2 linked regions of the Ovis aries genome follow. The protein of the gene in region 2 interacts with the protein of the main gene of each other region in a biochemical or structural test. Links are inferred from orthologs where the notes say so. Each region holds a gene or a part of one and is shown on either strand. Other genes may lie near its edges.

Region 1 (10,023 bases), on a different chromosome or scaffold from region 2:
CCTTGCCCCACCTGAGCCGGGGACACTCCTCATTGAAGTCCCTGCTCTTCCTTGTACTCCAGTCTCGAACCTTTAGCATCTTCACGACAATGTCATTGCCCTGCCAGCGGCCCTTCCATAGCTGAGGGACAGATAAGGGTTAGAAGGCTTTAACTAAGGCCACTGTTTTCTTGCCCACTAACTGGAGGAGAGACTTAAAACAGGTGCACAACAGGTAATAGGGTGGGGTGGGGAGTTACCTCTCCAGAGTGATTCTCGTTGAGCTTCGCCAGGAAGTTGAGCTGTTTGAAGTCAATGCCGGAGTGTTTGTTCAGAGTCCCATTTCCTGAGAGTGTGGGCAGGTCAGGCACCCAGCTTCCCTCTTTCCCAGCCCCAGGAGTCCAGGACTATTCTCTCACCACCCCTCCCCTCACAGCTGACTCACGGGGCCGAGTGCGGGTAGTCCCCTTCCAGAATGTGTCCTTGTATGGAATACGGTTCAGATTCTGGCCCATCTTCTCTGCCCGCTCTGGGGAAGAAAGACAAAGTCTTGACCTCAGCTGTTGTGTGGAAAGAGACAGGCTAGGACAAGACGAGGACACAGCGGTGGGTGGGGACAGACCTCGGAGCAGCTCTCTCAGGGGTGCCTTGGCTTTGTCCACAGGCATCTCTCCATACTTGTTACAGATGCTGACAAGGGCCCCATTCGCCACAAGGTCCTGGAATTAAGAGATGGCTGTGATGAGGGCATTCCCAACTAAGCATGAGTGCAGATGCAGTACAAACCTTGTGAATGTTGCACACAGGACAGTACTCACAGGATGGGTTGAGGGTTCCAGAGTCTCCCACTCAAGCTCAAACTTCTTCCCACCCATCCCAGAGTTCAGGGCCTGAGTACTCACCTCTGCCACCTGATCTTGGCCCCAGAAACAGGCATAGTGCAGGGGCACATTCCCATGCTCATTCACCGCATTGATGTCAGCTTTGTACTGTAGCAGCTGGTGCCCATAGCCAAATAGAAAGAGGTAGAAGGTACAGTCAGTCCCAAATGAGAGAAGTGTACTAAGGCATGCAAGGAAGGAAGGAGATGAGTACACATACTTTGTACGTTATGTTATAATGCCTGTGTCTTACTTCCAGGCATGTGCATCAAGGGGTTCATACATACCTTCTGTACAATATCACGGTGCCCATGACTGGCTGCCAGGTGCAGAGGGGTATCATCCCCACGGTTCATCACATTGATTCGTGCCCCCCGCATGATCAGCATCTCAACCACAGCAGATCGGCCTTCTCGGCAGGCCCAGTGCAAGGGGGAGAAGCCATGATCATCCCTATGAGGAAGGCGCAAGGGTCATTGATTTGGAAGTGGGATGGGGGCAAAGGCTTTGACACAGGAAAAACTTTAATATTCTCTCTGCATACTCTTCCCTGGGAAGCCTTACCTCTAGAACTTTGATTCTCATTCATGCCAGCAACTCCCAAAGCTGTCCAGTCCAGACCTTCCCGAGTTTCAAACCCAACCAACCACTACCTGAAATCCCAACAATTCCATATGATTCACTGTTTTCATCTCCCTCTAGCCTTTCTTCCCAGGCACCTTCTATCATTAAATGGTAACATTCTTCATCTGGTTTCCTCTGCACCCCTTTGGCAACATCTGTTGGTTCTTTTCTGTTTTCACCATATCTTGTACACTGCCTTACTACATAGGTACTTGTCACACTGGATTGTAAAAATCTGTTAAATGGGCTGTCTTGTCTATTAGACTAAGCTTTTTGAGAATTGACAGCAGCTGTTCAGTGCATGTTAATAGGAAGGAAGGGAAGCTTTGAGAAGAAAAGCCACAGTTTATGGAAGAGGAAGCAAGTTTACTGATTGGTTTTGGTTCTGATACTGAAATTAGAATCTAAAAAGGGAATGGAATTAAAATGATGGTTTGGAGGGGTTTATAATGAAAAGGAGAAATGCTTTGGGTAAGTCATTCATGAGGCAGATACCGCCACATAAGACAGGATTCTTAAGCAATCCTAGGTACAGAAAACAAGAAAATGAGAATGACTTAATTAGAAAGCTGTACCTAACTTTTTTCTTTTCCCAAGAACTTCTCTATTTTATAAAGTTAAATGTATAAAAAACAACAACAACAAAACCACAATTGGGTGGAAACTAGGCCTGCCTGACAGCCTGGGGCCATAAAAGGAAATTCCCTCCAGTCCTGGGCTGCAGATCCAAGGGGCGGAGCTAAGGGGGCGGTCCGTGGTCTGGGCCGTCAGCCTCCGGATGCCTTAGTGCTGCGGTCACTTCCCGTGTGGGGGCTCTAGGCGGGGCCTGGAGCTGATCAGGGGTATGGTCACCCCAGGCAATCCAGATGTCCTCAAAGCCAAAATGGGTGGTGGGTGTGACCTTTAACTTACTGATTTCCCTCTACAGCTGCCCTCATCTGTTCACAAAGATAGCCAAAAGCTTTTCTGGGAGGTATTCCCTCCCTCTTCCTAAAGCAATCACCACCCCTTACTTATCAGTCAGTTTTGCATCCCAGTTCTTTAATTTGTGCCCCAGTTTATCAGCCTCTGGCGGTCTGTGGCCCCAGAGAAGGCCAGAGCCTGACAGCAAAAGTATGGGCACAAGGGTTCTGCCCACTGCCATGCTCCGGTCACCTCAGAGCCTGAACTTTAATCCCAAAGCGACCAGCAGGAAATTGACCCTTACTTAATATCCACCATATACCCAGTTGGGGCCCCGAAGCCCTTCCACTCATACCTGCACCACTTTCACTAATACCACTCTTTGATGCCAGCTTCATTGGAAAAAGTTACCTAACCTTTATGATGCCACCAACAAAATAGTAGCTGTGTTCTCTGTCTTTATCAGAGCACCGTTTGAAGAATTATATGAAAAATGGAACGAGTGTGAATTATAGAGAAATAGCGTAGAGTCTAATGGGGACCCATAAAGCCTGGATGAAAGTGACAGGTGATCCTTAACTCTCAAACCTAAAATCTATTTTCTCCTCACTTTAAAAAAATTCTACGATCCTGAATCAGCATCACTACTGCTTTTCTTGCCTTCCTGTCTCAGCCAACCTTAAAGAACTTGTCTACATTCACTTTCTCTACTTCACATTCAACCTGCCCAGGAGACCACTGCCTTGAGGACAAGCATTATGCCTGATTCTGGACTTCTAGCACCCAGTGCGTGTTCAGTATAGTTCCTTAAATGAAGGAACCAAGTATAGTCTGGTTTTTTTCACTTGTTTTCCTCTGAAACGGCTCTCACAGAGATCATTAAATACATAAATAATTGTAAATTCAATGGTTACACTTTAGTGCTCAAGTTCTTTGACCTCTTAGCAATCTAGAGTACCACTGACCACTCCTTTCATTGAAACATTCACTTCTTTAAGCCTACTCCAGTACTTTTGCCTGGAAAGTCCCATGGATGGAGGAGCCTGGTGGGCTGCAGTCCATAGGGTCGCTAAGAGTCGGACACGACTGAGCGACTTCACTTTCACTTTTCACTTTCATGCGTTGGAGAAGGAAATGGCAACCCACTCCAGTGTTCTTGCCTGGAGAATCCCAGGGACGGGGGAGCCTAGTGAGCTGGTGTCTGTGGGGTCGCACAGAGTCGGACACGACTGAAGCGACTTAGCAGCAGCAGCATATTTTCCTGTTTGGTCTTCTAGGTTTCTCATCCGGTTTCATATCCACCTCTTCAGGTGCCATCTACGTGCTGTGTGTGTCTGTGTGTGCATGCGTGTACATGCTTAGTCATGTCTGACTTTGCAACCCCATGGACCAGCCTTCCAGGCTCCTCTGTCCATGGGATTTCTCAGGCAAGAATACTGGAGTGGGTTGCCATTTCCTACTCCAGAGGATCTTCCAGACCCAGGGGTTGAACCCGCATCTCCTGCCAGCTCCTGCCCTGGCAAGTAGATTCTTTACTGCTGAGCCATCTGGGAAGCCCATCTTCATGCTGCTGCTGCTGCTGCTGCTAAGTCGCTTCAGTCATGTCCGACTCTGTGCGACCCCATAGACACCAGCTCACCAGGCTCCCCCGTCCCTGGGATTCTCCAGGCAAGAACACTGGAGTGGGTTGCCATTTCCTTCTCCAATGCATGAAAATGAAAAGTGAAAGTGAAGTCGCTCAGTCGTGTCCGACTCTTAGCGACCCCATGCACTGCAGCCTACCAGGCTCCTCCGTCCATGGGATTTTCCAAGCGAGAGTACTGGAGTGGGGTGCCATTGCCTTCTCCAGTCATGCTAATATCGCCCAAATCTTTGTCTCCAAGTCAGATCTCTCCTGAAATCCAGCAGCCCACTCCACATCCACTTTATTGTCACTTAAATGTGTGCAGAGTGGAACTCACCACCCTTCAGCCTTGTCCTTCTCAATAAAAGGAACCACTATCTACCCAAGCCAGAACCCTGATCATCATCTTTGACCTCACTTTCCACACCAAGTCTCACCAATTCTTTATCCAAAAGATCTCAGGAATTTGATCACTTTTTTCTTTTTTGCCTGTCCCAATTCTAGTCTAAGCCATCACCACTTGAGATGGACTAGGCAGTTAGTTGCCTCTCTTCACATCACCACTTGCTCTTCATAAAGCATCCAAGATGACACTTAACAAATGGACAATCTCATCGTACCATTACATGGCTCTAAACCCTTGCCCTTGCAATAAAAAATTATTATAGCCTAAATACTCTTGCATGATCTGACTGACCCTTGCAGACCTTTCCAGTCTTAACTTCTGTCATTCTGCACTTGTGCTTAGAGCTTTAGCCCACAGAAGCCCAGCGGTTTTCTCTCCTCTAGCCATATGGAGCTCCGGACAGTTTCTGGCACTCTCTGCTCCGTGTCTTGCCCCCTAGCTTTTGCCCATGAGGTTCACTGAAGTTAGAATACTCTGCAGATTCTGCCTGTAAATTCTTATTCAGTCAAGATTCAGCTCAAACAACAGCTTCCGGTGTGGAGACCCTCTGCCCCGCTGACAGGCTGTTTAATCCTCATCACACTGAATAGGAAAGTAAGCCGCCCGCACCAGAAGTGAGCACCCCACAGAGCGGAGAGGAGCATGTCTTTGCCCTTCCTCTCGCCCCCCAGCCACCCCAGCTCACCCCTGGTTGAGGTCGTTCTCCGTGTTGTCCAGCCACAGGCGGACCGCAACCGCGTTGCCCTCCCGGCACTGAGTGAAAATGTCGTCCATAGCAGCGTCCCGGCAGAGTCCCCTAGACTGGGAAAGTGTGGGAACTGTAGAAGGATCTTGGGGGGGGGGGGGGTGAGCCCCAGGCTTTGTCCCCTACAGGAGAGAAGTGTGGTGTTGGGCTGGGGGTCTGGGCTCTGCGTCCCCAGCTACTGGATGTCTGTAAGGAGTTAGGGAGGCAGCGGAATGGTCCTGGACTGTGTCCCTTGAGCGCGAGGGAAAGGCGGATCGGGCGAAGTAGGCGTTGATGAAGAGGTAGTGTCTTCCGAAGGGATGTCACGAGAGCAAGCACAGAGACCCTACCCGCGAACAGAGCTGGGGGGTGGGGGTGGGGAGTTTAGGCGCCGTATACCCTGGAGGAGGCGATCGGAGGTCCTTGCCGAGGATGGCCCTCGTTCCCGACTCGGAACCGAGTAGGTGGAGGGAGGGGTGACCGCCTGGTAAAGCTCGAGCCTTGGGGAGGGGGCACGGGTGCCCCCACACTCACCGGGACTCGGGCTAGAGGAGCCTTCTCCGGGGAACTCCCGTCCGGCCGCGCCCGCCGCCCGGCCCCGCCCCTGGCCCTCTCAGGCCAGCGCGGGCCTCCTTCTCCCGGCCCCTCCCTCCCGCCTTCCTTGCCCTTCTAGCCCACCAGTGTCTAAACTCGATGGTTTTCGGCACTGCGCCGGCTGCTCTAGCCACTTCAGCTCTCACTCTTTGGTTTCCTGCCCTGTTCCGGCGTCTCTGAGCGGTCTGATTCTTAGAGACGTGGTCTGCACGTGGAGAAGCGGGTGGATCCCGCAACCTTGCGCTCCCCAGCCCCATGTTCGAGGAGCCGGAGTGGGCCGAGGAGGCCCCTGTAGTCGCGGACCTCGGGTCTGTAGCCTTAGGGCTTCGGCCCACGGCAACCTCTCAAATCAAGGTGAGTGGCCCTGCAGGAGTACTCAGAACAGACTGCTGGATTCCGGAGCTGGGGCGCGCCGCGTGTGTAATTAGGGGGAGGGGGGCCGCTTGCAGCCTCCCCAGATCCGGAACTTCCAAAAGAAAGTGACGTTGGAACTGAGAGAGAATTGGTGAGTAGAAGTTAGTGAAGCAAAGAGGGTTTCTTGGAAGGAAAGGCATGTGGAGAGACCCGGGTCAAGGGAGCATGACACAGAATGAGAGGCAGTGTGGTAGAAATTGGAGGGCTACGTTAGAATATTTGCACGTTAAAGATAGAAGCCAATGGAGTGTTTTAGCAGGGGGATGATTTCTTCAGATTTGCGTTTTGAAAATGTCACTGGTTGCCGTGTGGAGATTGAAAAGAGCAAAACTGAATGGCAACGAGGGCTGTCAGTGCCGCTGTTCAAAGGGAGCTGGAGCTGAGGGAGTACTGAGAGTCTCCAGGATGAGGGATCCGTCCAGTGGGACTTAGTCCAGAACGGCCTCCCAGACAGTAGTCCTCCTTTAAGCCTCTGCCGATGTGAGGGCTGCTGCACTTGCTCAGGCTCTTTCTGTCCTTCAGTCAGCCTGTGACATGAAATCTGCCTGCTTTATTCTCTCCTCTTCAACCCCTCGACCCACTGCTGTAATCCCCGCCACTGGCCTCTGTCTGCAGCTTGTCTCTTTCAGTGTTTTTTTTTTTTTTCTTTCGGTTCTTTACACTGCAACTGGAGGCATCTTTAATACACACATGTGTGATCATGTCACTCTTATTTTCAAAAATCTTCCTACTTTTTATAAAAAGGTATTAGCTAGAGGTAGAAACCTGAGATTGAGAGTTGGAACTCCCGGTCACTAGCCTCGGTCCTGTAGCTCGTGGCCTTACAGTGTTTCTCTGGGAACCCCATCACCTCATCTATCCAATGAAGAAAGTGAGGTGGGTGGTTTCTCTGCTCTCCAGCCTCCCAAAGGTTGGGATGGCAGTTTTGAAAGTTCTTCAGGCCCTGACAGTCTTCGTGTTAGGCTAGGTAAGTTGATTGAGAATAATCCAGATGCCTCGTTACAGCATCTGAGTGAGGTCCCCATCTCTCTTCTTACTCCCTAGGCCCCATCCATTCTCCTCACCCCTGCATTCATCCCTTGTTTTCCCCCAGGGCGCCAACCGCCGCCAGCTCTTGGCCACATTACGGGCCCTGGAGGTAGCATCTGTTCCCCAGCAGCCCCCTAGCCTGCCTGGCAGTGACTCTGAGGAGGAGGAGGAGGTAGTGGGAACAAAGAAGAAACGCACGAAAAAGGGCTTGTTTGCTGGTGCGTCTAGTGAAGTAGAGGAGAAAAGGAAGAAGAAACGTCACAAACAGGGCCCACCTAGCAGTGACTCCAAGGAAGAGGAAGTGGAAAGGAAGAAGTGCCACAAAGGGGTTCTTCTTGGCAGTGACCTGGCAGAAGAAGAGAAAAAAAAGAGGAAATGCCAGAAACAGATCCCTTCAAATCTTGCCCAGCCCCTGGACAGTGTTGACCAAACAGGTAGTATTTGTGGGATGATGAGGGCTGGGGGTGTGGGATTCAGCTGACCCTACCTATAACAGAGTTCCTCTGCCACCAGTAGGTGTGGAGTTAGGGAATAAGAAGTACTTTCCCATAGACCACAGTTTCTGTCTTAGGGACAGGGGTATGGCCAGGGTGACATGCTAAGTCTCTGAATTCAGGGTATCTTGCTCCCCAGTATGCCTTTCTATCTCTCTTTCTTCAGATTCTAAAGCTTGGAATTCTAGTGCTACAAGTGATCTCACCAAGCCAACCTGTGAGACCCCTTCCTCTAATCCTCCCCATACGTTGAGTCGCAAGCAATGGCGGAACCGGCAGAAGAACAAGCGTAGACAGAAGAACAAGTTTCGGCCATCTCAGCCACCAGAGCAGGCCCCAGCCCCAGCCTCTGCAGAGGAGGCAGAGGTGCCTTCTGCCCCCAGTCCAGACAGCCATGGAGCCCGGGCAGAGGCTCTTCGAGCCCGCATGGCCCAGCGTCTGGATGGTGCCCGGTTCCGCTACCTCAATGAACAGCTGTACTCAGGGCCCAGCAGTGCTGCGCAGCGCCTCTTCCAGGAAGACCCTGAGGCCTTTCTCCTCTACCACCGTGGCTTCCAGAACCAAGTCAAGAAGTGGCCACTGCAGCCGGTAGACCGCATCGCCAGGGATCTTCGCCAGCGGTTAGTGAAAATCGGGCGCTGTGAAAAGCTAGGCGTGTCAGTCCCAGGCTCAGACCAGACCAGTGAGCTCTTCCTCCCTTCCATTCCCAGGCCTGCGTCCCTAGTGGTAGCTGACTTTGGCTGTGGGGACTGCCGCCTGGCTTCAAGTATCCGGAACCGTGTACACTGCTTTGACTTGGCCTCTCTGGACCCCCGGGTCACTGTGTGTGACATGGCCCAGGTAAGCCCCTCTCTCCTTCCATGAAATGCGCTCTGCCCACCCTGCATCCTTGTGTCTACTCCTAGCGTTCAGTGCTGGCTTTCTCCTTCCTATAATGTGTGCTTAGTACAACCTTCTCACTCTCCACAGGTGCCTCTGGAGGATGAATCTATAGATGTGGCTGTGTTCTGCCTTTCACTGATGGGAACCAACATCAGAGACTTCCTGGAGGAGGCAAATCGAGTGCTGAAGCCAGGGTAGGTGTTCCCAGGACACAGCTGCATGACTGTGTGCACATGCGCGTGTCGGTGTACTTACCCAGAACTTTCCGTCCTTCTCAGGGGTCTCCTGAAAGTGGCTGAGGTCAGCAGCCGCTTTGAAGATGTTCGGACTTTTCTGGGGGCTGTCACCAAACTGGGCTTCAAGGTCATCTCCAAGGTGAGGGCCCCAGGAAGTCTGTCCTATTTTTGTCATATAGGTGGCCCTTCAGGCTAATAATGGTGTTCAGGAAGGAGGTCATTGTCAGACAGAGATGTTTGCTCCTTGAAGGCTTGAGTAGTGGGAGAGAGCTGGGAAGCTTTCTGAGCAGGGGTGGGGCCTGGACAGAGGTGATTTGAAGAGCTGGGGTGAGGACTTAGAGCTCACTGGGTCTTTTCTGTCCCTAGGATCTGACCAACAGCCACTTCTTCTTGTTTGACTTTGAAAAGACCGGGCCCCCTCGGGTAGGGCCCAAGACTCAGCTCTCAGGCCTGAAGCTTCAGCCTTGTCTCTACAAGCGCAGGTGACCTTTGGAGCCCCCCTTGAACGGGGCGGCAAATCTTAAACTCCAGACTCAGTACTCTGAAGACTGTATCCAGCCAGACTGTGACCCAGGGCCTGGTACCACCCTTACTCCATCTCAAGAACAAAATGTAATGAAACTCGGCTCAACCCTGCTGTGATGAAGGCTTCTTGGTTCTAGAAAGCATAAAGTCGTTAGGGCTAGCTAAAGAGTAAGGAGTTCACTGTGAGAACACAGGAGTATGTGGGAATTACGGATCCCCTCAGTGTCATGGAAACTACATGGTTTGGAATTCAAGGCATCTCTGGGTTTGGTGTCTGTTTCCATCTCTCAAGAGCCATATAAGCTTTCTGTCCTAGCAGCTCCACTCTCTGTTCTGATTTTCCTGTCTGCACACCAGATCCCTCTGCTCACTCAAAGCTTTTACAGCTTTGGTCTGCCCGGGCCTTTAAGGCCACAGATCCTTAAGGCCCAAAGCCTTCTTGGCTCTAGAGCAGCTTGGCTCTAGAGTAAGTGCAGCAGCCCTCGCATCAGCAGAGGCACCTTGGCTGTAGTCCACCAACATCATCTGGACGTCTCGGTCAAGATGGTTTGATTGTCCCTGTACTGAGGACTTTTTTCCCCTGACTGTCACCTCCATCTTTGGAGCTGAATGGCCCTAACCCTCCTAGCATCTGTTGTTCTGTCGGGCCCTGGTGTTTGGCTGGCTGAGAGCACAGATATTGGAATCAGGTAGGCCTGCCATTGACTG
Region 2 (9,923 bases):
GGTCATAAAAATTAAGTTCATAAAATTTGGATTTGAGATGAGAATTTATGCTCAAAAGTTTTTTTTTTTAATTGTCCAATATCTGCAAACCATATTTATACAGGTATGCTAAACCTGTCTGGTTGGTTGTGGTGTTTTTATCACAAATTTAATTAACATTGAACTTGGACCATTTCCCTGAGTAGTAAGAGATAATGCTTGGCCAGTGAAGCCACATGAGATTATAATTAGATCTCATGAAATACTGGTCTCAAATTATTTTAAGTGCTTGTAATTTTTAGTAATATGCAGGCCAAGGCACAGACATCAAAAGAGAAACTCAACTAGGTGAGTGTGTCTGTGTGTGTGCTGATAACTGTTTACTAAGAGAATAAATAGAGAATTTTAATGTACACACTCAGCCTGGGAAACTTAGTATTGTTTATTAAATAAAGCAGAGAAAGCAAGAGAGGAATCAGCACAGTGGGAAATCAGGTCACCAGATAAGGCTTTTTTGCTACCCTGTTTCCTGTTCTGGGTGGCTCTGCCATCCACTGGGAGAGATTCATTCCTCTTACCCAGATTGACAGTTTCCCATTTCCTGTCACTCTCTGCCACCTCCCTCCCCCATTCTTGACCTGCCAGACCAAAGCAGTTCAAACAGATAAAGACACAGTTAATTTGCTGAAGAGCACAGAGCTTTCAGTAAACAACTTCTTCCTGGGCAGTTCTGTGTGGAGATGACAGGAACTTTATCAGCAGAGTAAGAATTGAATCCACTTATTATTGTATGTCTATTGGGCCTACACTCCCCACAGAGCAAGTCAGTTCACCCCTGCCTTTCCTTTGCAACTTTATAGCCACTAAAAGAGGGAACAGCTACAGTAGCCACAAAAACATTTTGGGAGAGGGGGAGGCAGGATTATCTGGAACCAGCATCTGCATTTTTAGAATAAAGCAGAGCATGGATGATAGGCGGCAGCCGTGCAAGGTCATGGGTGGAGGAGAGGCATTCAAGAAGTATCAGTGATGATACTATGTCACAGAGGGATGGATCTCAGAAAGTCCTGTTCTTATTTTCTGAATTATCAGAGCAGTGAGTATGTTACCATGTTTTGACTGATGGTCAAACACAGCAGCAGCCCTTGTCAAACAATTATACGGGGTAGAAATAATTAAGAAAAGTATAAGATAAGCATGCATTCCAGAGTATCAAAGAAGTTTTGAGTTAAAAAAAAAAAAACCAACTAATATTTTACTGGGAAACTACTACATTTAATGTAGGTAAATTGTTGTGTACTTGAAACATTTTCTTTAACTCTGTGCAGTTATCTCCCAGATAAATTAAAGGCCAGGAACCCAGATTGGTCTGATCCCACTACATCACTAACTGATAAATTATTAAAAGCACCTCAATAAAACTTTTAACATAATAAAGAACAAAACTATGGAATATAAAATGAAATAAGCACTATCTCTACACTGGCCAAGAACTGCCAAGTGGCTTTCCTTCCACAAAGTTCATGTCTCTGACGTGGTGGTGTATAGAGTGTATGATCTACATCCTTCTGGATGTAGATCAAATCACCACAGTGTACACTGTAAATACCTTACAGTTTTGCAAATTATCCCTCTGTAATGCCTGGGGAAAAACAAGTCCATGTCTTTAAGTCCTTGACTTTCGAAGTTCGACGTTGCATAAAAAATTATTTGTACCAAGTGAAGATTAGTGACCAACTGCATCAGGGGCTTCCAGCTGGTCTTTAAACTGCTGTTGTAAGAGAACGAGTTGCAAGAGAGCTTAGTCTCTTGTCCCCTGTGCCTTCGTGTCTACCTGAAAATGAGTTACTGAGCAGAAACCAGAAGCTGTGTCTAGAGGCCCTGTGGTGTTTTTTTCGTTGACTGCTGTCATCTCTGTAGGGACCACCATCAATAGGGCTCCCCAGGATTCATGAAGTACCACTGGATAGGGAGATGGAAATCAGGGTTCCACTTCTAGCTCTGCCTTGCCATTTGTCAGTTATAGCCATGTGACTTCAAACAGGTTACTTGGCTTCACTGAGCTTCATCTACAAAATGAGGAGGGAGAGTTGCATGAATCTTTTAAAAAGGGCTCTCCTGGTGGCTCAGATGGTGAAGAATCTGCTTGCAATCCACGAGACCTAGGTTCTATCCCTGGGTCAGGAAGATCCCCTGGTGGAGGTCATGGCAACCCACTCCAGTTTTCTTGCCTGGAGAATTCCACGGACAGATGAGCCTGGAAGGCTATAGTCTGTGGGGCTGCAAAGAGTTGGACATGACCAAGTGACTGACACTTTTAGAAGAGATAATGTATGTGAAAGCACTTAGCATGCCTCTCAGTGCAGAGAGTATCCAAAAAGTGTTTCCTCCATATTCAACTGAGGCTGAAAAGTTCCAAGTTGTAACAACCATCACTATATTCAATAAACAAATATATGTTAATAGATCCTAGGTAGAAACCACAACGCTCAGATCCAGTCCTCAAAAAAGTAATAACTCAAGTAATAATTTATTAGGGGCAATAGGATATACTCAATCCTAATAAGGATGACTGCTCTTAAGTTCCAAAAAGGACCAAATTCAGTGGCAGTTCTAAGGAGTAAGAGAAAATGTTTGGCTACAAGGAAAGTTGGAAGTACTAGTGGATGAAAGAACATTTGACCTCTTTCTAAAATTTCTAAAATGCTAGAAAGCTCAGATGTGAACAGGTGGCGACTAGAAGGTTTGGGCAATGAATGGAGATGGGTGAGGGCAGTGTGTCTGCAGTCGCCCAGTTTGAGCTGGGGAACAGGCCACAGAAGACCTCTGAACGTTTGACTGGGGACCATTAGATTTTATGCTGTGAGCAACCAGGAGTTACTAGAAGAGCTGAAATACAGCCTGGTGCTGTGTTGGGGCTAAACTAATCTCAAAATCCCTGGGAGGGCAGAAGGGCCACCAGAGGCTGAACAATCAGCACAGAGGCTATTCTCCCTTGTGGGGAGGCCGTGGGACCAGCAAGGACGCAGGTGTGTGCCATAGACTAAATATATTTGGGGCTTTTAGCAAGTGACAGTATAAGTTGATGACCTGTACTTAAGAGGAGGAACAGGAACATATTTTTACTTTTTTTTTTTTTTTTAATGGGAAGGAGCTCTTAAATTTTTGAGCAAGGCTTGTTACGACCTGGCCTTAGAGTACAAAGAAAAGCCATGGAGAATGTGACATAGGCCAAAGATCTGCATTCAGGGGACAGTGAGAGCAGAGATGGAAGAAAGGCACTGGGCTGCACGAGCGAGTATCACCAGGGCTTGGCCTTATTAATTGCAAGGGGTGAAGGAGAAAGTCCAGAACTGAAGTTTTGAGTCTGAGTGATGATGCAATAGCAGTAACAATACAGAGTAAATTCATTTAAAAAATGTGTTTTCTTAAACTGAGTCATTTTGCTGTTTAAAATCAGTTCTGCTCAAGCCAGCAGCGTCAGTTCATCTGTCATATTTCTATTTATAGCTACATTTCTAACATAAATATTTTACAGTTTATCCTCAAGTAGCAGGAAAAATGAGGGGTTTCACCTGAAGTGGAAGACTTCACCTTCAAGGTTAAGTACGCCTGTCTGGTGACACTGCAGAATACTAAGCACACTGTTCTCACAAGCTGCAGGTACAGCGTTTACAAAAGCGAAAGTTCATGTCTACACAGCTCATGTCATGTGAACAGAAAAAACAAGAAGTACAAAAGAAACATTAAATAAAAGATTTTGCTTTTATTTAAAATAAAATGTATTTATACAGTCTTTAAACCATGGATTATTGAACAATACTGGTAATCTACCCCTCCCTGGCACCCTTTTGGGCTATGTGAGCTAGGAATTTTCTGACTAGCACCAATGCAGGTTGTAACAGCGCAACAGACTAGAACACGGCCAGTCCAGGCATTAGAGTTAAGGACATTGTGGCAAATCATGACTATAATGAAGTCATCCTTAATTTAGCAGATATTAAAACTGCACATTAATTATATTTTAAAGAGCATTTAATTAATGCAAAGATGCTACATCTAAGCCATTTGCTAGTTGTGAGTAGATTTTTAAAAAACTGTACAATTTTATAAAATTTGTGTTTGTACATTAGTTACACAAAATGCATACTTCATAGACCTTTACTTCATATTGTAATGCAAAAGTTGCATATTTTAGGAGACAGTGAATATGCTGGTGAATACTAAAAGTGTTGTAATACAATATGGTGTAAAAATAAAAACACAAGACAATATACATACATGCTTATTCAAGGACAAAAACCAGGCATAACGACTAATAGCATTTTCCTTCAAGATCAAACAATGACATTATTAAATACCAGGCACCTTTTGTAGGCCTAATTTATTTTGGGGTTGGGGGGGGGGAAACGGATGACAGATGGCTACCAAAAGTATGATATTTGAAAAATTATGAGGTCAAATTAAACATATATTAAAACACATGCATTAAACATGATAAATAGACTTCATATAGTTTAAGCCCTGGATAGCTTTAAAGTAGATGGCTTGAGTTTCTTACAGTTTGGCTAGCTTGAATCAGTGATGTTTTGTTCCTAACTTACCCACTACTTCAGTTTCAATTCCTGGCTCTAAGGAACATGTGCCATATTCAAGTCCATACATTGTATCATGATAGCAGATTAATAGTCGTGCTTGTTAGTGCACATATTAACTGGTCTGGTAAGGCAAAAAAGTTTTCATGATAAAATAATGAATTTCAAGCTTACTTTATTAAGCAGCATATAACAAACAACAGCTTTTAAAGTTAAATAACTGTTATGGCCATGGAGTTTCATTACACAGCATTTCTGTTCACACCCAACCACTGGTAAGTTTGTAGAACATCTCTTCATCTAAACTCTCATTTTGGTCTTTTGCACGTGTTGAGAGAAATATGTAGCCACCAATGAATTCATGAACCACTTTGCAATCTACTTCAGTGCAAATGAAGGACAACCGTACTTCATCTGCAAACTCTACAGTGACCTAGAACAAAGACAGAGAACCATCAGTCCCTGCAGAAGTCCAGACGGCTGGGTCCAAGTGAGGCCACTATACTTAAGGTCTGTCCTGATCATAAAATACTTGCTGGTCCTCAAAAAAAATTTTTTTAATCCTAAACTAATAATGCCTTCAAGTCCAAAAGCATAAGTAGAAGTTTATAGCCCTTCCTCTCCTTTTTTCTTGTTCTGAAAAGGAAGGCTGAATGCAAGAGGCTTAGGTCATTAAGTTCCCAAAAGGTCTCTGGTGATTCAATTAATGAGTGTCTCCCTTCAAGTCCTGGGAGAAAACCTATTTCCTGTGTTTAGCTATTTAACCTTTAGGTTTCATGTTTGAATATTTCAGAAATACAAGATTCTATGAAGTAATTGAAATCAGTACAAATCCAATGACCCTAAAACAAAGGACTTATTAGGGAAATATTCTGTTTAAGTGAGAGTCATATACTCCAAGGCGAGGGGTAGCATGGTGTGCCAGGCTTTAGAGCCCGAAGTATCCCAGTTTAAATCCTAATTCTCAGTGTGCAGTCATGGACAACAATGGCCTTCATTTGTACAGTGGGGATAATCCATCTACCTTGCAGGGCTGGGGTAATGTTTAGAAATAGGGTACAGATGTAAAACATCTACTATCATGCTTGGCACAAAGCAGGCATTCACTAAAGAGCAGCTGCTATTTGTGAGTGGAAAGGGAATAAATTCATTACAGAAAGACAACCTGAAAGATTAGCCAATATTGTAACATATTACGCTCTTACAAGTATCTGGGCTACTTATAAAATAGGCAAGTAGGAAATGAACAACCAAGCATGTTTTATACTTTAAGAGGAAATGGCACAAAGAATCTTAAACATTTATAGGGCCTTTTCTTCTTAATTAATTCATTTTTAGCAGATCGACTATGTGTATGTGTTCAAGCAGGATGGTTACAGCTTACCATTTTTATTTCCCAGTTTACATTCCACTGTTTCATGTTACTGAAACGCCAGGTTTTAATTGCATCTCCCGTGCTGGCGTCCATCCTAATCAGTCTATTGTATGCAATTCCGATAAGTTCTTCTTTTTTGCCCCCTTGGAACCTACAGAATTAAAAACATAAATACATGTTTTAAAACAGAGGTGGTAGGGGGACATGTTGGTCTGTTTTTCTTGAAGATATGTACTTTTTAACTCTTAAAGTGCTATTCTTGCCTGAGTAAAAAGAGAAATGAAATCACTTTAAATTTTTGGTGAAAAAATTATAAGCAGAGAAAATACATTCCAACATTCTTTAAATTTTACTGTGTAATAGGTTAATGGGTTTCAGTAGGTAGCTTTAAATGTTTAATTTCTAATTACATGAAGTCAATTAAGTAAGAAGGCACAGACTGAGGTTTACACATCGGAGCTGAGTAGAACCACTGACCTTGCAATAAAGTGTGTGATGCCAAATTCTGGTAATGATTGCCAAGCTTGAATAAACCTCATCTTGGCTTCAATTAAACTCATCTGAGCTACATTCTGATGGGCCTCCAAGATTCTTGCCGTTATCTAAACATGAGTAAACATCATATTTACTATTAGATATTATTCTTTCATGGTAGAATCAAGACAAAAAAAGATTAAAACACTGAATTATGTGCCCCATGCCCCAAAATTACGTATTGGGAGAGACGAAATCAGAAAATATCTGAAAATACATTTGGGAATTTTAGTAAACTAATGACTTTCCAAACTAAACTTCAATATATAGTTTTTCTTAATTTTAGTTCCGTATGTCAAGAAAGAATAAGTACTAGTAGGTATATATAATTGTTGAGACTTTTTCAAGTACACACACATATGATAACACAAGTTCTAATCCTCATATACTGATGGGTTTTAAGTTCAGTACCAAGATATCTGATCAGAATGAGTGCCTGCCATACAGGTTTCTAGCACTAGAAATCACTGCAATGATTTTAAAATTTTTCTAAAGGAGTAATTAGAAAGGTTAGTTTTTAAGTTTACTCACTTTGGGATGCCTATCTGCTCAAGAGTAGAGGGAAATTAATTCATGAGGGGAGACTGTAGCTAGGGCTTACATATTTTTAATTCTTTCTTTTTTTTAAATATGGAGAACTTACCAAATCTCTTATATAGCCTGGCTGGAGATGGCAATGCGAGGAAAAGAAAAAGGAAGCAGAAAGAAAAAAAAGGCAATCAGAAAAAATGGCAATGAAGCAAAGAAAAAGTTGCGGTAACCTGCAAACCAAAATTCCAGCCAAAAACCATGCAAAAAAATGACTTCAGGTGGAAACCAAGCAAAGTAAATGCAAGCATGAAAATGAAAATGAGAAAGCAGCGATTCTTTCCATTTAGAATACTGAGAAACACTCCACATTATTTTAGATTGTTAAGTGTTACTAAAATTAAGGGTAGAAATTTGTAGGGAGAAAATTTAAAATGCAAATAATCTTTTCCCCTTCATGTACCAGGTCTTACTGATTAGGGTAAAGCTAATTATTTTAGTAGCAAGATAAAAAAGAAAATTAATACTCAAAAGCCTTTAATCTTGTCTTATATTGAGTCAGATAATATGATCCATGCACAGCTTTTCAGAAAATAGTTGAAGGCATTAAATAAGTGCAGTGACCATACTGTTTCTTTATTTACAAAAGAAAAGCAAACCCCTCAATTACCATCTTTTTTTTGCATCCTTTTTCCTGGAAGGGAAAATAAAAATATGCCATACACTACACTAGGAGTGGTGGCTACAAATATATCAGTTCATTTCAATTTGGATTAACATGAATAAAATGAAGAATAATTCTTTCCTCTAACATGTAAAAATCCAGTTTGGGAGTCATAGTTATGAAAAAAATATCCATAGCAACTTTAATAGACAGTCTTGGGGAATTAAAATAGATTGTAACAAAGGCTATATGCGCCTGAAGACTTTATGCCCTGGTAGGGCTGAATGACCCCATAGCCTGCACAGCTTAGACCTACCTGACTCCTAAATGCCACTGGATTATACAGTTTAACAAATCCAATTACTGAGCCACTAAGTCCAACAAACAGTACAGTACATGACACACAACAGCAACTAAACTCCTGCTTATCAGCTCTTAACTAGGTGTCAGGGCAATACTTGACTCAACCTCCTGCTTAGGGAAAGGAGAATTCAAAATAAATGTGCATTTGATAAGAGGACAATGTGGAAGACAAGGCTAGAAAGCTCCTTAACCTCAGACCACATACATACTACCGTCCGGTCAGTTAAGGACAGCCACACATTCTTTGTCTTGAAGAGAATCTTCAGTTGACTTGTAGTCAAGAACTCACCAAAAGAAGATTTATCTTTTCACAGCTAAACCTATCATTGGGAAAACAATTCAGTACCTGCCTGACAGCTAAACTAACATTTGGCAATCTTTACAATTATAGTTTAAGATCTTTTATTCCTGATACCTGATAGTGAAATGGTAAACTGCTTAGATTTGAAACTATTCATTGACTTTGAAGGCAAATGAATCCACTTTTAGAAACAAGTCTCTTTATAAATAACTTTAAAATGAACTAACCTAAGAATTAAAAAATGAAATTAGTACTCGATTCACTTTCCCTTGTTAACTTACAATCTACATTCCACACAGCTCCAAGGGCATTTCCTCCATTCCTCACTACTCCCACATCATATGACTACGGGATAAACAATTTCCATGTAGCTTACACAACTTCTGCAACTTAAAAGACAAATACTTGGTGATTAAAACTTTTGAACATTTCCAGCTAAGGGATTTCAGACCCATATGATAAACACTATTTAAAGTTAAGAATTAACAAGTGTTCTGGGTATATCATTGGGCCTTTCCAGTAATGTTTTAAAATTACTCCTTAACAAAGATAAAAATGAAGTATTTATTTCAAAGTTCTTCTTCACCCCCTTCCTAAATTGGAGCCTTTTTCCTTTTATGGCATGATGCTGGGTATCGAGAATACTGGGGGCTATCCCAAGTGAAACTCCCCTGGCAAAGAACCTTTTGTGTTGGACCGAAGAACCATTTTCCTAAATAGCAATCCTTTTATGGTAGTCATTTCCAGGAAAGGAATTCTAAACAGAGGGAACAAAAGCAGTGAATTTCAATGAAAATTTACCAAATGTTGTCACAGTATGCAAATCTGGCTTAGGTTTTGACTGTTAATGTTAAGAAAAGACAATGTTAAACATGGACTATAAACCACGTAAAGTTTATTTCCAAAGCTGGAAAGGTCCATTTTGACAGCAAAAAGAGTCTTCAGAGATTTGGCTGGGAAATGCTGGCTGTGCTCTGTATCAGACTTACTTTACTTAAGGAATAAAATGGCATGAACTGTGGAACACAAAGCAGTAAGACCATATTCAATTCCCTGAAAAGAATATCCTGTTAGCATAGTGATTTCCTCGGGTGGTTTAGAATAAATATGCTCCCAACTACTCCACCTTATTATCCTTCCTATTAAAAAAAGGACTTTTCTTAAATGACCAATTTAAACTGACTGAAAGCTATTTTTTCCTTATATTTTAACCACCTGATACAAAATTAAGACTACCAATTAAGACTAAAAAGTAGTGTTTAAGAGGGGAAACTAAAGTATATGTAGAAAACTGTTTACCTGCTTGTTCTTGTACTTTTTTAGATAGCGAGGGGATACCAGACATTCAGGATTTATATCAGTTGTGATCTGCTCTGGTACTAACTGAGGATCTGGATTTAAATGCTGCATCTTCAGAAAGGAAAGAATATTTTGAACTTCTAAGTTGTAAGAACTGTCTGCCATGGTCTTGCCTTTGGAGGCCAATCTGCAGGCTGCCATCCAGTGTGCATACTGTTTTTCCTGTGAAAAGAAATACTGAGGTTTGGAATCTATCACATGATAAATCCTTGAGTATAAAACATA

Evidence for each region.
Region 1: the proteins of FERMT2 (region 2) and ILK form a complex in vitro, tested with the Homo sapiens proteins (2 studies listed by BioGRID). The link is inferred for Ovis aries from reciprocal best matches to the Homo sapiens genes FERMT2 and ILK.

The regions. Positions count from the first base shown.
Region 1 is NC_056068.1:46,199,790-46,209,812, forward strand, and holds the start of ILK (integrin-linked protein kinase), read right to left. Parts: upstream 5,729-10,023; 5' UTR 5,541-5,728; intron 5,219-5,540; exon of another isoform or gene 5,214-5,218; 5' UTR 5,192-5,213; coding exon 5,103-5,191; intron 3,295-5,102; exon of another isoform or gene 1,314-3,294; coding exon 1,148-1,313; exon of another isoform or gene 1,120-1,147; intron 978-1,119; coding exon 882-977; intron 699-881; coding exon 602-698; intron 509-601; coding exon 425-508; intron 326-424; coding exon 240-325; intron 122-239; coding exon 12-121; intron 1-11. Other genes in the region: RRP8 (ribosomal RNA-processing protein 8), read left to right, coding at 5,991-6,089, 7,243-7,612, 7,839-8,292, 8,383-8,512, 8,642-8,748, 8,833-8,929, 9,157-9,276. UniProt on the Homo sapiens protein: Scaffold protein which mediates protein-protein interactions during a range of cellular events including focal adhesion assembly, cell adhesion and cell migration.
Region 2 is NC_056060.1:63,641,035-63,650,957, forward strand, and holds the end of FERMT2 (fermitin family homolog 2), read right to left. Parts: intron 9,861-9,923; coding exon 9,639-9,860; intron 7,706-9,638; coding exon 7,682-7,705; intron 7,148-7,681; coding exon 7,127-7,147; intron 6,552-7,126; coding exon 6,427-6,551; intron 6,101-6,426; coding exon 5,959-6,100; intron 5,008-5,958; coding exon 4,834-5,007; 3' UTR 3,726-4,833; downstream 1-3,725. UniProt on the Homo sapiens protein: Scaffolding protein that enhances integrin activation mediated by TLN1 and/or TLN2, but activates integrins only weakly by itself. Binds to membranes enriched in phosphoinositides.